2 linked regions of the Lepisosteus oculatus genome follow. The main gene of each other region encodes a partner of the protein of the gene in region 2 in a complex. Links are inferred from orthologs where the notes say so. Each region holds a gene or a part of one and is shown on either strand. Other genes may lie near its edges.

Evidence for each region. The genes of interacting proteins can lie anywhere in the genome.
Region 1: the proteins of flna (region 2) and itgb7 are in contact, whole or in part, in a crystal structure (PDB 2BRQ), measured with the Homo sapiens proteins. The link is inferred for Lepisosteus oculatus from reciprocal best matches to the Homo sapiens genes FLNA and ITGB7. Residues at the interface, in NP_001104026.1 of Homo sapiens: Thr2263, Gly2267, Ala2268, Gly2269, Gly2270, Leu2271, Ala2272, Ile2273, Ala2274, Val2275, Glu2276, Gly2277, Pro2278, Ser2279, Lys2280, Ala2281, Ile2283, Phe2285, Phe2311; in NP_000880.1 of Homo sapiens: Pro776, Leu777, Tyr778, Lys779, Ser780, Ala781, Ile782, Thr783, Thr784, Thr785, Ile786, Asn787, Pro788.

What each region holds. Positions count from the first base shown.
Region 1 is NC_090696.1:20,659,733-20,666,842, forward strand, and holds the start of itgb7 (integrin beta-7), read right to left. Parts: upstream 3,036-7,110; 5' UTR 2,913-3,035; intron 1-2,912. UniProt on the Homo sapiens protein: Integrin ITGA4/ITGB7 (alpha-4/beta-7) (Peyer patches-specific homing receptor LPAM-1) is an adhesion molecule that mediates lymphocyte migration and homing to gut-associated lymphoid tissue (GALT).
Region 2 is NC_090697.1:66,962,145-66,970,032, forward strand, and holds the start of flna (filamin-A), read right to left. Parts: upstream 3,013-7,888; 5' UTR 2,775-3,012; intron 1-2,774. UniProt on the Homo sapiens protein: Promotes orthogonal branching of actin filaments and links actin filaments to membrane glycoproteins. Anchors various transmembrane proteins to the actin cytoskeleton and serves as a scaffold for a wide range of cytoplasmic signaling proteins.

The DNA.
Region 1 (7,110 bases), on a different chromosome or scaffold from region 2:
CTTTGTAACAGCATGAAATATTTAAAACTTTTTAAAGTGGATTTCAATGCCAGTTACACGATCAAGGTGTACAACGACATTCTTCATTGCTTGTAATGACCACATAGTTCAATTCAATTCAGTGGATTTTTATTTAGCGCCTTTCACAACAAGGTTGCCCCAGGGCCCTTAACAAAGCAATTGACCTTACATGTTGTGAATACAGAACAGAAAAGACCAGAAGACAACGGAGGAGAGGAGCCAAAAACTCCTCAGTAAGGAGCCAGGCGCTCACTTCACCCGGGGCTCTGCATCTGATCCCCGCATCGTGCGAGCACAGGACCTGGTTGTGCCCGGCTCCGTCATGTTTTTAACTTCCTGCTCCTGTCCTTGTTCCCCCAGCCGGTCCCGACCCAGCACCTGATTTTAATCTCCTGTTTGGACAGATTTCTCAGCCTTGGACCTTTTGCTTTCGTTTTTGGATTCCCTCTTTTGGATTTATTCTTAGACTGTTCGCCTCGACCACACCTCCCCGGATCACCAGCACCGTATGGACACGCCCCCCTGTTTTCATCCCTGTTCCTGCATGACTAGTGCATTCCTTCCTCACTATTCTGGATCGTGTCGTCCACATAGGGTCCGGATAGAACTGTTCGTTACACATCTGTTGAAAGGATGAGTGAGGTCAGATACCCCCCAAACCAAACAGCTTCTGAAAATGGCTCCAGCAAAGGCTTGGCAAAGCATCTCAACAGAACAACCCAAGAACCTGGCGATGTCGCCTGGGTCACACGCTTGATGCAGTTATTGTGTCCAAAAGATCAGCAACCAAACAATCACGTTTTATACTACTTTACGTTAATTTCTCCCTATACCTATGTTCACTTAAAATGGGGGGATAAAACACAAAAAGTGGTGTTCTTCTGAACCTGCACGCCATATAAGCACAGAAATATCCAGAAATGAAAGGCGACATTCTGTACTTTTGCATCAAATTCATCTTTTCATCTCAAATACAAATTTCTTGAATATATAGCAAAAATAGAAATGATTATGTCATCCATCCATTTTCCAACCTCTTTATCTAATTCAGGGTCCATCGGACACCAGTCCATCACAGAACACACACAGACACACTCACACCAGGGCCAGTTTTCCCAGAAGCCAATTAAGCTGCCTGCATGTCTTTGAACTGTGGGAGGAAACTGGAGCACCTGGAGGAAACCCATATAAACCATGGGAGAACATGCGGACTCCACCCAGACAGCACCCCAGGACTGGAATTGTAACCCAGGGCCCGAGTGCTGTGAGGCAGCAATGCTGACCCCTGTGCCACCCTGCAGCGGTGCGAAAGAAGCTGAAAACGTTTGCTGAAGGATGAGGCTGGAAGCAAGAGAAGAGCCTCCTTCACCTGATACATTGGCGCCTCCGAAATGTCAGCGAAGCTGCGGCACAAACATCCATCGAAACCCCAAAAGAGCACGCACTGCATCAAAACACGTCCGCAGCCGCCCAACTGCAACTCCAGAGAGCACGCAGCGAGATTCATGGTCAAAACCTATTTCAACGCAGTGTGGTAAAAACACAAAGTCTGGCAAAATCGCTTGGGTTGATACGCCCCTCGGATCCACAGCGCGACCCAGCTCCGGTTTGAATTAGCACCTCGCATCTCACGTTTGGAGCATCAGTTAAGCTAAAGTTTCTCGCAACAGTTGTTTTTTCATCATTATTATTTGTATCCTGTCCCTCTCGCCTTTGAAGTCCACACCCTTGCAGGGCTAGACCCCCGCTTCTCCTGTCTGTCGAACCGCAGAGGCGCGCCTGACTGCTCGGCGAGAACCAGCGGCCACCAACCTCCAGCTCCGCGATCAAAACACGAACAACAACACGTGTAAACCGCAACACCTGAAGCCTCCACACACCTCCCTTCCTTTCCCACTTTCCTGCAGCCCGTTTCACTACCTGCGCAGCAACACGGTGCATCGCGGGCGCCATTTAAAGCTCTTAACACAGAAATCACGACAGATCTTGGCGGGCATCAAGTTAATTCCGTTGAACTGAGATGCCAGATTTGCGCTCAGCCCCTTTTGGCCTTTCATTCGGGGCTGTACCGAATAGACTGCCGAAGCAAAGAGAATTTCACAGGACGAAACATTTAAAATCACACCAATTATATACGGAATTTTTTTTTACCAGGCCACGACAGTTGTGTTCATCAGTTCGTCCTAGTTTTGCATTTCTGTGGCGCTTACAACGCGGGACTGAGACATTATTCACGGTTCCAGACCTCTCGGCGTCACCCACAGTACGAGCTGCGCTCAGCAGGGAGCTCCAGTAACTTCTGAAACAGCTTTCTGTCCCGTCGGGCGAATCGGGGGTACGTTTCGTGGAGCAAAAATAAACGTATAAATGTTCGAATTAGGTCTTCAAACACCCCCGTGAAAGTGTGGTCCTAATTAACCTGGAAATCTGGCTCTTCGGGGCCGGGGGTGGTTCGTGATAAGAACTGCGTAAGGACACAACATAATGAACCTTTACATTCTTAAAAACTGAACCGATACCGAGGGGTGATGTACTGTAGCACCAGGGAACACATGAGGATAAAAACCCGGACCAGAAAGTTTCCGTCTTGTGTGTCGCATGTAGCTACAGAAAGAAATGGATTTTGTTTTTTTGTGTATCGGAAAATACGTGAATCAAACAAAACCAATCATCTTCACACCATCACATCTAAGACACAGAAATGCTCCAACTGCCTCGTCTCTCTCAGGCTTTTCCAATAAGAAACTCGGAAACTTCTCAACTGGGCAGGAGCTGTAACAGAAAAGCACCACACCGTAAATCCTGACGAATACCTGCACTGAACACCCGGCCACGACACCAACGCGATGCGAAAGCAAGTTTCGTAGATGTTTTTTGTCATCTTTACTCACGATAACCGTGGTGTTTTGCCCGTCACCCTCCGTCCGCCGGTCCGCGCGAGGCGAGATCTGCAGGTCTGTGAAGGGCTGGGCACGCGCAGCTTCACGCGCCTGCAGGAGTAGCTCGAGCGGTTTCTGACACGTGCCCCAATAGACAGGCGCTCGAGCTCGCAGCTCCAGGGAGCGTCGACAGTTGCCGCTGAAGTTAGCTTTTTAGTTATGAAACATGAATATATTTCTATTATCCTGAAAAATCTGGAGTTTAAAACCTAGACTTGTGGGGTGAATAACGGTGATATAGGATATAACCCAATACACTGTACTGTATATTTGAAATGAAATTGAGATTTTACCACAAAAACCTTTCGGTTCTCGTATTCTAAAACGTCATAAAAATTCTTATTCATTCTGTACCACAATTGCTACACTTTGCTTAGATGCACCTGGTAGTGCCGTTTCGGTGATAATCAAGTAAATTTTTGTCCTCGTTCGGCCATGACTCGATGAAGGAAGTTATTCTTGAGAGTTGAGGATCTGAGGGGATGTCTCTGAGGAGGGTTAATCTCGTGAAACAGACACCCTTTTATAAACATTAGTTATATATGTATAAGATAAGATTTAATTGTCCCCTGAGGGAATTGTTTTATGGACACACAGCACTCCTGTACATTTAAATAGAATGCAAACCAAAAAGAAGAAAGGAAAAACATTGCACATTATTCTATTACAAAAAAATAAGAAAAACATTGCACATCACTCTATTGCACACGTATAACACGTAACAACATGTAACATTTATAACACCTCACAAAACATATTGCGCTCAAGTGGGTTGTAAGAGTCAAAATTGTGTTTATCCTTAACATTTGCGTCGACAGCTTTAATGGAGAGTGGAACAAAGGAATGTTTGTATCTGACTTACATTTGGGAACCCTAAAACGTTTGTCAGCAGGAAGAAGTTGATATTCAGAGTTGAGGATGTGGGAAGGATCTGATATAATTTTTCCTGCCTGTTTGATTATGGATCTTTCAACGATTGTCTACAGGGAGGGGTGCTGTTTCACTCCCACGACCTTCAAAGCTGTGTGGATGAGGCGGGTAATTTGCAATGTTTAAATAAACTGATAGATTACCAAACTATTAGCATGGTAAAAGAGTAGCATTACTTCCTGTCGAACCCCAAACGCTCTCCAGAAATTTAAGCGCTGCTGAATTGATGAGCAAACACTCTCAACATGAGTAGACCAGCACAGGTTACGGTCTATGTGTACACCTAAGTACTTATACTTTATGAATCAACCTGAGTGATAAATTCGTTGTGGATTACTACATGGGAGTGGTCATCAACTGCTCTGGGATCAAAAACAGTTTACAGTCGCAGTCCACTGCCCAGTTTCTCCAGGAGTGTGACTTGACCATGACGCTGAACTCCGAGGCGCCGGGAGTCGAGCTGGATTGTTCTTTCCTTAGCAGGCGCCTCTATTCCAATGCATTACACTTAAACATTCACAGTACGTGAGGACAGGGTTGAGCTCAGCCGTACACTTACGGTAAGACTAGAGTGAATAAAGACGAGATCAATTTCGATCGGCAGAATGAAGTGTGTTGTAGAATGATTCGGAGTCATCACTGTTCAAAACAGACTACAATCCAAATAAAGACTAATTCTTCCGCCATCAATTCAGATCTGACTACAGAGGGGGTACAAAGCTCTCATTTCCTAAATCGGTCCAGACTTGGCCTCCAAGTCTGTCTCCGCCGCCTGCGGACTCAAAACAAGGCGTTGTCTCCATCTAGCGACAGGATACTGTCACTGCACGACTCCTGCTTCTCGTACCGGAGAACGGCCGCCTACGGAGAGAGGCTCCAACTCCGTTATTCCTGATTGTAGTTTCTTTTTTGGGGGCGAGTGCGTTGTTGTTTTCACTTGATTTCATTAGCGGCGTTTTACGGAACGTTATACTTGGGAGTACCCGTGCACAGGCAATAGCTGTGTAGCTCAAACTCGAAGCAGGAAATGCTAAAAACAGGAACTCGTGCTCGTCCGCTGAGAAAGACGCGCGAGTTCCTGCTACTGGGAGCCTGGCGGAGGAGCGCGTGGCCCCAGCCTGTCACGGGCTGAGGTCAGGCGGGGCGGAAGGACTGAGGCAATAATAAAAACAGATTAAAGACAATTCGTGACCTCAAGCCCCCGTTTTACAACATAGAGAGTGCAAATTGCTGCAACCACCGATACTTCGCTGAAGTTGTGCAATTAACCACAGACGGGCAAGAGCCTTTTTGAAATTCATTTAATTATTAAATAAATTATTAAAGTTAATTCAAAAGCACGGGTAAAAGATTGGTCTGAGTCACATCGAATGCACCATTGTTGAAAGGTACTGACTGATACCTGGCTGATAGCTGGAATGGAAACAGAACAGTGACAAGGGCTCTTGAGTCGAGAATGGTTCTGTGTTCAGAGCCCGGGAGGGCCCAGGAGACAGTAAAATACCCAGCCGTAGAGACGGTTGTCCAGATCAGCACTGTACACGCAAGTCTGCTTTTTGATAGACATATCGGCTTAAATAATGTAACAGATAAAAGAAACAAGTGAAATAGAATGAAAGAAACCCCTCGATGTGATTCATAGGGCAATTCTAGAACTCTTAATTCTGGAATTCGAACATTGAAACCACCCCAAAAACACCTTCTCGATGGCACTCTCAATTAGTTATATGACTACACCTGTCCTACTAAGACCAATACAGACAGTATTGACAGACTACAAGCATACCGGACTAGAAGTTCCTTTGCTACTCAGCTGTTGAAACAGATTAATGTGATACGAATTAGACGGACACAGGTTGTGATGCAGCCACTTTGAAATGGAGTGCTATTAGCTGGATGTTTCCTATCGGCTGACGTGTTGATCCTGTCTCATTATACTGTGCATGTTAATTGGCTGAGGAAGCAGAACTGATGTAAAAGGAAAGCAGTTGGAGATCAGGAGCTGGAACCGACTGCAAGCTTTCTGAGAATTACCCTTCACTCCGGAGTGCATCCGAGCACACCCAAGCACATCCGAGTTGATGCGAACTTCCACAGGCCGTCTGAAATGTAGCGAATGAGAACCACAGTTCTGTCGTCTCTGGGCATCCTCCCTTCACAAGCCTGCGCCCTGCGGGCTTCTCCCGGCAGTGGGGACATCCCGGGCAGGAGCGAGTGGTCAGCCCCTGCCTCGTGTGCAGCCCTTTCCCGCCGCGCATTGCCAGAGCCACTCGGCGTCGCCCGGGTCTCTCTCGAGCGACGCCCGCCGTGGGGTTTGGGCAGCAGGGGAAACCCTCAGAAGCCCAGCCTTCCTGACCAAAGACAGGAGTTGCAGGAGGAGAAGGGAAACTGGTGCAGTTCGGGTTCAGCTCCGCTCCAGGGGGAGGGTCCCCTCATCTTCTGGGTTTGTCCCCCCCAGTTACAGAACCGGTCTAATCATACAATTGTAACACTTCACATGTAAGAAGTGTTACAGTTTTTTTTAATTTCCTAAACCAAACCAACCTAGTTTTGGAGCTGGGTTAGCTGTACTTGTAATTGTAACGAATACGGCCTTGCGTATCACAGGGATCTCAGCGGCCCGGGCTGAGGGAGGTCTCCTTTAGCTCAGCTGGCAAGTTCCCCATAGCGTGACGCCAGAGACCCGGGTTCGCACCCTGGCAGTGAGGGATGAACGGCAGGGCAGGAGCGGCGAGGGCAGAAACACCAAGAACGTCACAAAATGAAGTGAAAGTTTAGGGTTACCAAATGTAAAAAGCCCTAGGAAACCTCCTATACGTGTCAAAGTGAGAAGATCTTCAGGTTCGTCGTTTAATATCTCAAGAACAAAAGCGAAAGACACTGGGCGTTCCTCAGAGAGCTCAACTGGCCCAGCAGCTGGCAGTTTAAGGGTGTTAACACTGGTGCTCAACCTGGGCCCTGGAGGAGCCCTGTGCGTCTCCCGGTCTTCAGTCCAGGGGTCTCGAAGAAATGTAGCAACTAGAGCTCCACCCTTCCTTGGTTATTAAGCGTGTGCCATCTGATTTCCATCCAAGCAACTTCTAAGAGGTGCCGAAGTGCCGGTGGGAATCAGACACTTGCATAGCACGACCCTTTGATCCGAAGAGCTCCACTTACCTCCAGAGCACACACCTGGATGAGAATAGGTGTGGAACAGATAAATTAGTAAGGATTGATGAGT
Region 2 (7,888 bases):
CAAGGGGCATTTCTTTACAAGGAGAAGCTAGTAGTGATCTGGAACTAAGTTCCCAGAGACTTATTGATGAATCCGACACTCGGGAATTCTTTTAAAAAAGACGCCTGGAGGCTTGACAGCAACTTCAGCAACAGATGGTGCTGTATTGGCTCAAATCTTCGGATAATATTTTGTTACAAACTTGTGTTTCTCGGGGCAGCGCTCCAAATTAGTCTCGTTTAACTGTGTTGTTCTTTTGAAGGCATCCTATAACAAATACTAAAGCTAATAATTTTCACTGTGCATTGTCCAGTTTTGCAAATACTCCGGAAGTCCTGTCGCCTTGACAACAGCCAAACTCTACGTCAGATCACACTGCGGGCTATTCGTCTTTATGTCTCAGGACATTCTACCACAGTGTTGAAAGAGAATATGAGCAGTCCCGTTCAAACAACTGCCTAATCCTGCACAGAATTCCGCAGTGATATTGCATTTTCTCTGAATGTGATTTCCCAACATCCTGTATCCCCCGAATTTAAATATCTGGCAAAACCATTATGCGGATTTCTACACCCATACTTAACGCGAGTATTAGGAAAGTCTTGTTGCGCAGGAAACGTATTCAATATCCCTGGGCAAATTCCAATTAAACCAATAATTTAATGGTATGTATCATTACAATAGTATGGATTTATCGTTGGTACCGGTATATTAAGTACGCAGAACTGTGACGTACGTTAATGTAGTTCAACAACACGTTATGGCATAATTCAGCAAACAACAGTCGCGGAAGAGTTTGCTACTATCAGATCTATACTGAAACACAACTGTTGACCGAATAGCATCTAACATCTTTTTTATTGTATCACTTACTAGCCGACATAAAAACGCGTACAGTAGGTATACCGTGATAGTTTCTATCACAAACATGATTTTTTTTTATTTCTACCATAGCAAGTATATAATAACTACTAGCTAATGTGTCAGGAGTTTAAGAGTGATGTGTGCTGCCATGACATAGCCAACGGAAGCACAGTACTGTAGAAAAATATGGGGCATATCAGTAATGTTGAGCGATATCACACGTCTCGACCTGTAACCGTGTTATAGCTATGGCGCTGCAGTTTTCTGCATCGCGCTACCTCTCTCGACACACGGACCACACCCTTTTATTTTCAGTACGCGTTTCTTCTGCAGAAATTTTCACCAAATGCTCTTCTTAAGAATTTTAAAAATACACCCCACAAACAGTCAGTGACCCAGTTTTTGCAGCTTCAACCGCAAGGAAACGATACATATCCTGTCTTCGGCTCACAGAAATGAAACACACTGATTTGAGTTTACCAAAACATCTCATCCTGTAGTTTCGTTCTAACTGTGGCTGGCATGGCATGGGCGTGATGAGTTCTTTTAACAACTTTTATATTAACCATCGTTTCATGTTGACATACTGTTCTCTGCAACTTGGACACTGTTGTTTTCAAATTACACTGCACCTAGCCGTTGTCAGCCTACAATTAACTGAAAACATTTTATAGACGTGTTTCATATTGCGAACTTCAAATCATATCTCTACTCTTATCACTCATTTAATGCAAATTATTGTTTTTTTTATTTTTAAACTGCCCCACAGAACTTTATTTACTTATTAAACATCTGGAAAAATTGCACCAACCAACACAGTCAATTCACACAGTCCGCCCTGGAAAATTCAATAACATACACTATGAGCAGTTTTTTTTTTCTGAAAAAAGATAAATAACTGATACTTACTTGCATATGGTGCACTAATGCACAGAATTTAATCTAGAGGAATGGGGGGTGTAGTTTGTGTACTAACCATGCCTGAAACGATCTGACACACAAACAATATAAAACAGTCAGGAATATATAACAAAAACGGCCAAAAGTCTACATTAAGACTGAAATGGTAATAAAAAGCCACAAACATTCAAAGTATAACGTTCATTCTTTTTTATAAAATATTCCTTGATTTCATGTTGAAAAACGGTTGTTACCACTAGTGGGCGCCACCGTCAACATCCAATATTCCCGATTAGCAGAAGCAGATACATAAACTTTTTCATAGTTTCCCTTATTTGGTGAAGAGATTTTAATTAGATTACATGACTGATGCATTAAAATCATGTTATGCGCGGAGGATACAAGACACCTGTAAATGCACTCCACTTCAACAGCAACTAATAATAATGACATTACGACCAGATAAACAATTGTGCACATGGAATATTTTAATACATCTATATTGCAACCTACGGTGCAATTGATATGGCAATGCACCATATCATGCAAATTTGTATAAGCGCACTGTCATTTGTAGCTGACATTTTTCTATTTAGCTTTCATGAGCACATTTAATCGTCATAAAACAAAGATTGCACACAAAGCATCAGCTTTTCACAAATCAACTGCTTCCAAAACTCCAAAGATAAAAATCAAATAAGGAATAATTACTCTTTACAAACAACGACAAATCACAACACCAGATTAATAAGACCCTACAATTTAAAATATAAGCCCTTCCATTTTGACCCATATAACTATTTGATTGTTTTGGCAATTTATCAATCAGTCCCATATAATTACTCATAAACAGATTTCTGACAATGGCAGAACGTAAAAGAATTGCTAATCATTAGACTTGTGATGCGCCGTTACTTACGATAGCCGCTGTAAGACGTAAGACAAGCAGTTCCCAAAATGTGAATTTAAAATTAAAGCGCAACGTTGACAAGCCCGCTACTAAATATGTGGTTAAAAGCTGCAAAACTTACTCTTTTTAGCTTTGTATTCGATTGGTTCAGCGACCGGAGGCACACCGAACAATCTCTTTCAGGTTTGCGTTAAAAGTTGCTCTGTGTTATAGCACGAAATGTTCTTCCCTCCCCAAGTGCTTCTCTTGGGGAAATGAGTTCGTATTCCTCGACAGACGGGAGAACAGAAGTGACACCCTCTCGTTAACTCTCTCCCTCTCTCTCTCTCGCTCTCTCTCCCCTTTGCGTCCTATTTAAAATCCTTAATTGGTAAAATATCAAATGTGAACAGGGCTTTTTGAGTGTGTGTGTTCTGCAAAGCTGACGCGTGAGTGGAACCCCGCCTTTGGATTTTAAAGGTATGATGTCACCCCGTTCGGCTCTCATATACAACTTTAAATCCATTCTAGCCCTGTGGGATGTCAGAAAGCATTGTGTGAGTGTTTTACTGCATTAAAGAAGGGCACTCCTTGGTCAACTTGAACTCCCTCTCTCTAGCTTAGAAGTGAGCTCAGGCATTTGGTCATCCGCCACGTAGGTGTTGCAAGAGCATGCAGAATTGCAGACTGCCCCGGGGTGAGAGAGTATGTTAGAGACGTTTGTGGGCTGAAGTTTGTATACTGCATCGAGTTTGAGTAGCTCATGTTGGAATAAAATGTGTGTGGGGGGGGGGGGAAGACAGACAGAAAGAAAAAACTCTTTGAAGAAAGATACTTTAGAAATTAAGAGAAATGGTGGCATAGTGGCAAAGTGGTTAGCATTACTTCTTTGCAGTGCTGGTGCCCTGGGTTTAATTCCAGACCTGAGGTGCTATCTGTGTGGAGTTTGTATGTTCTTCCCGTGTTCATGTGGGGTTTTACTCCGTGTTCTGGTTTCCTCCCACAGTCCAGTGGTGTGTGTTTGTGTCTGTCTATGTGTGCCCTGCAATTGGACTGATGTCCAGTTCAAGATGTATACCTGCCTTTTACCCATTGCTTGTCAGAAAAGACACCTGCTCCCTTGTGACCCTGAACTGGATGAAACAGTTAGAACTTGGTATTTTTTGGATGGCTGGATTAAGGGAAATTTTAGGTGAGAATCCTAATTAGTCATAGACATATCTCCCTGCAACCCACTGAAGCTCAGCAGGTGTGAGCCTGGTCAGTACCTGGATGGGAGACCTCCTGGGAAAGCTAAGGTTGCTGCTGGAAGAGGTGTTAGTGGGGCCAGCAGGGGGCGCTTACCCTGTGGTCTATGTGGGTCCTAATGCCCCTGTATAGTGACAGGGACACTACACTATAAAAAGGCGCCGTCGTTGAGCCAAGACGTTAAACCGAGGTCCTGGCTCTCGGTGGTCATTAAAAATCCCATGGTGTTTCTCAAAAAGATTAGGGGTGTAACCCCGGTGTCCTGGCCAAATTTCCCATTGGCCCTTACCAATCATGGCCCTCCTAATAATCCCCATCTGTGAATTGGCTTCATTACTCTGCTCTCCTCCCCACTAATAGCTGATGTGTGGTGAGTGTTCTGGTGCACTATGGCTGCCGTCGCATCATCCAGGTGGGGCTGCACACTGGTGGTGGTGGAGGGGAGTCCCCATTACCTGTAAAGCGCTTTGAGTGGTGTGGCCAGAAAAGCGCTATGTAAGTGTAAGCAATTATTCATTATTATCATTCATTGTGGCTGCATACAGTACACACTCTAACACCGAAAGGTGTTCCTCGTTCAACAGGTGAGTAGTTTTGCAATGCACTATGGGTCGCAGATCTGTGGGAGTCAGTGGAATCCTCTCTTTCAAAGGGCCAGGACAGTCTGCAACTCAGATTAAGTGACAGCAGAGAATCCGAAGTATCTCTGTAAAGTAATGCAGGAGCTAGCTTGTGTACCATTCTGTTGCGGTTGTATGCAACACAATATTACTGACCCTGAGCAACAGACATGTCTGTTTTCTGACTGCAGGGGAAAGGAGATCTGCACAGGAAGCATGACTGTCAGAGCGAAAGGAGGCAGAATGAGGTTCTGTTACACCAACTCTACTGCTAACCAACCTGCTGCCGCCAAAATATTTGTATGGTGACAGTACCCACTCCTTCCAGACATAGTGCATAGGACCTTTTTACTGTATGTACATGCCAGTTGATTAAAATATAAAAAATAAGAAAGTTAGGACATGATTATCCATAACACTTTTCTGCTTCATTGTCTGGAATATTCTGTAAATTGATTTACCGTTCCTGCCTTATGTTGTGGCACAGTGTTTTTTTCCGGCACTCAACTAAAAAACTTTCTCATCAAATTGATCTCCCCTTTAGTCCTCATACTCTGGGAATACTCTGTCACACAACACTATACTTCAAAGCTTGGCTACATCAAATTACAAGGTGTACTTAAGTATGACTTGCCAATGTTACTTAAATTAACTTTAAGAGAAAAAAAATGTTACCTGCAGAAATTCATTTACTTTATTTTTTTAGTTTAGTTTGTTTATCACATTTTAAATCAATAAGCATTATGATTCCGGAATACCTTAAAATATATACAGTAAGTTGACCTTGACAGCCTGATGTTAACCAAAATGTCAAACAATGCAAATTTCTGCAACTTTGCTTAGATAGTCACATCATGTCAGGCAACAATTATGGTATTATTTATTTCCCTGGGTGACAATTACATTTTTGTGCTGAAAACATGCACTACTGTATATAAAAATCAGTCAATCATATAGCAGTCTTAATGTTCATATCAATAGCCGACATCAATAACTGGTTGCATCTACTGCATAATATTATTTTTTAAAACAGTGTGAACATGGGAAAGGTGTATAGAATGAGCATTATTGTTCCATGGATAAATTATGAGCATGGATCATGGGATTTTATAAAAACACTAGAAATGAGTTGATGAAGAAACTGTATTAATAGTTATTCAATAGGTATGATTTTAATTATCAAAATAAAAATAACATGAAATATACAAGTGTACCCTGCTTGGGCAGTAAAGACTGTGTGGATGCTATTAGAATAACTGAATTAGTCTGTCTTTGAGAGCAACTCAACCAGCAGACTAGTCCAGAGACACCAGGGAACCGGCCGTGTGAGAGACAGACCATGTCCTGGAAAACAGGGTCACCATACCTACCCAGAACCATTACACTCATCTCATCCTCCTGCATAATACTTTTCAGACTGCATTGGATACAGAAGATATTCCAGGAAGAAATAAATAAAGAATCAGCTGAATGATTGTAGCTTTCCATATTCACGAAAATAATCGGTCTACTTGTCCATTCATGGGTAGTACATTGAGAAATTAAAATGTCATCTTCTGTGTACCAAAGAATGTCAGCGTTGGCTGCAGAGAGAGTGGAGGTGCTGATGTTTTGTTCACAGATTAACTCTGTTTAACCCTTCACAGATCTGACAGAAGATAATGCATAATGATGGAAGTGTGAAGATATAGAAGGAAATCTGTAAAACAAGATTTGTGTCAATGATACAAAGTTAAGCCAACAAATAATTTATTCCTGCATGCAAATCTGCAAGTGTCCATTTTTCAGCAGGATGTTGCAAAACCATAGACTAATAGAGTTATAATTTGAAGGAATCTCTGTCAAAGTCGTATAGTGACCATTATTTTCTCCTGTCTTGATACCAACAGAACTTTCACTTTCATTTAATCAACATGAGACAACTGTGAGTGACAAACATTTTCCAGCTAGCTGCAGTTGCACAGGAAGAGTGACAGAAAAGTGGGCAGCAGTGTGCTTTAAACAGACTTTAGACTACTTTAGTACTAAGGCTCTGACTTACCAGAATTAAGTGATTTTCTAAAAATGGATGGATATATAGGAATGATGTTATCCCAGTGGTTCTGATCACAATGTCCAGTTCATTCGTATTCTAAGAAATAGAATGCATTGTATTTTCTGTTGTGTTCAGGAAGTACCCCAAAATTTGTATGTGATTCACAGTAGTGAGATGGGTCGATAGCTCTTAAGATAATCTAATGGTTATTAGATTTCAGGATAGAAGTGAAAGCTTTTCTCCCGATCTTTGTGAGTCTGTTACATTCTGGTCAGTATTGAGAATATCTTATTGAACCGGGTGTCTCCCCAAGTACAAAAGGAAGGCATATAGAAAGTACAGGTGTTGAGGAATTCTCCATTTCTGTGCAGTGTATACTATGTAACTACATGGAATGTTACAATATTTATAAAAGAAGGTCAAAATGCTTGAAAGACCAGGCATTACAGGGTGCTTATGAATGTGCATTGAGGTCACAATAAAGAAAACACATACTGTATGATGGATAGCTATATGAAGATCAGAAGGGGCAAGGCTAGGATAAATATCTATGGTTCTAAAATAGCAGGTTAAAGTCAAAGAGATAGCAGAAGTCTCTTCAGTTTAGACTGAAACAAAGCAAAGGTAGGGTACACCCACAGGATTGTATGGAAAAATGCTGTATTACGTTTATATATTAGCCACAAACCTGCAAAAATATATTTTATTAAATTATTGCCATTTAATAAATCAAATGTCAATAATACTTCTGAATTGTGCCTTTCAATTTGTTTCATTACAATGAGTAAGTAAACTATATTAGGAACAAGTAAAAGGTTTATTCCATGCTGAAAAGAAAAGAAAGGAAAGGCAATGTTTTGGCTGTGGATTCTATTGTTTACATTATTTTATTATATTTATATTTCAGCATCAGCATCAGCATGTTGGGAAAGAGAAAAAATAAGGACTGGGAAACAAAGCAATTTACTAAATGTGCTCCAAAGCTCTAAATGAAAGGTACTGTATGCACATGGTGAATATAAATTGTATCACTATCAAATAGTTGGACCATAACTGAATTAAATAGAGATATTCATTTAAATAAAATGGTGTCCAAAAACCATTTTGAAATTTAAGTTTCATTTTCATTTCCTTCATAAATCATGCAGCACATATTTAAAATAATAAAATGAAAACCATACACAAAACAATGAGTCATAACAAAAAGATTTATTTTTCTTCCGTTTTTTTCATTATACAAAAATAATGCATTTAGGATTATAAATCAAGCTTATTTGAGATAATACAACTTAAAACACTAAGAACTGAGATAAAGCCATTAAGGTAGAAATAATTCAGTGAGTATTAGACATC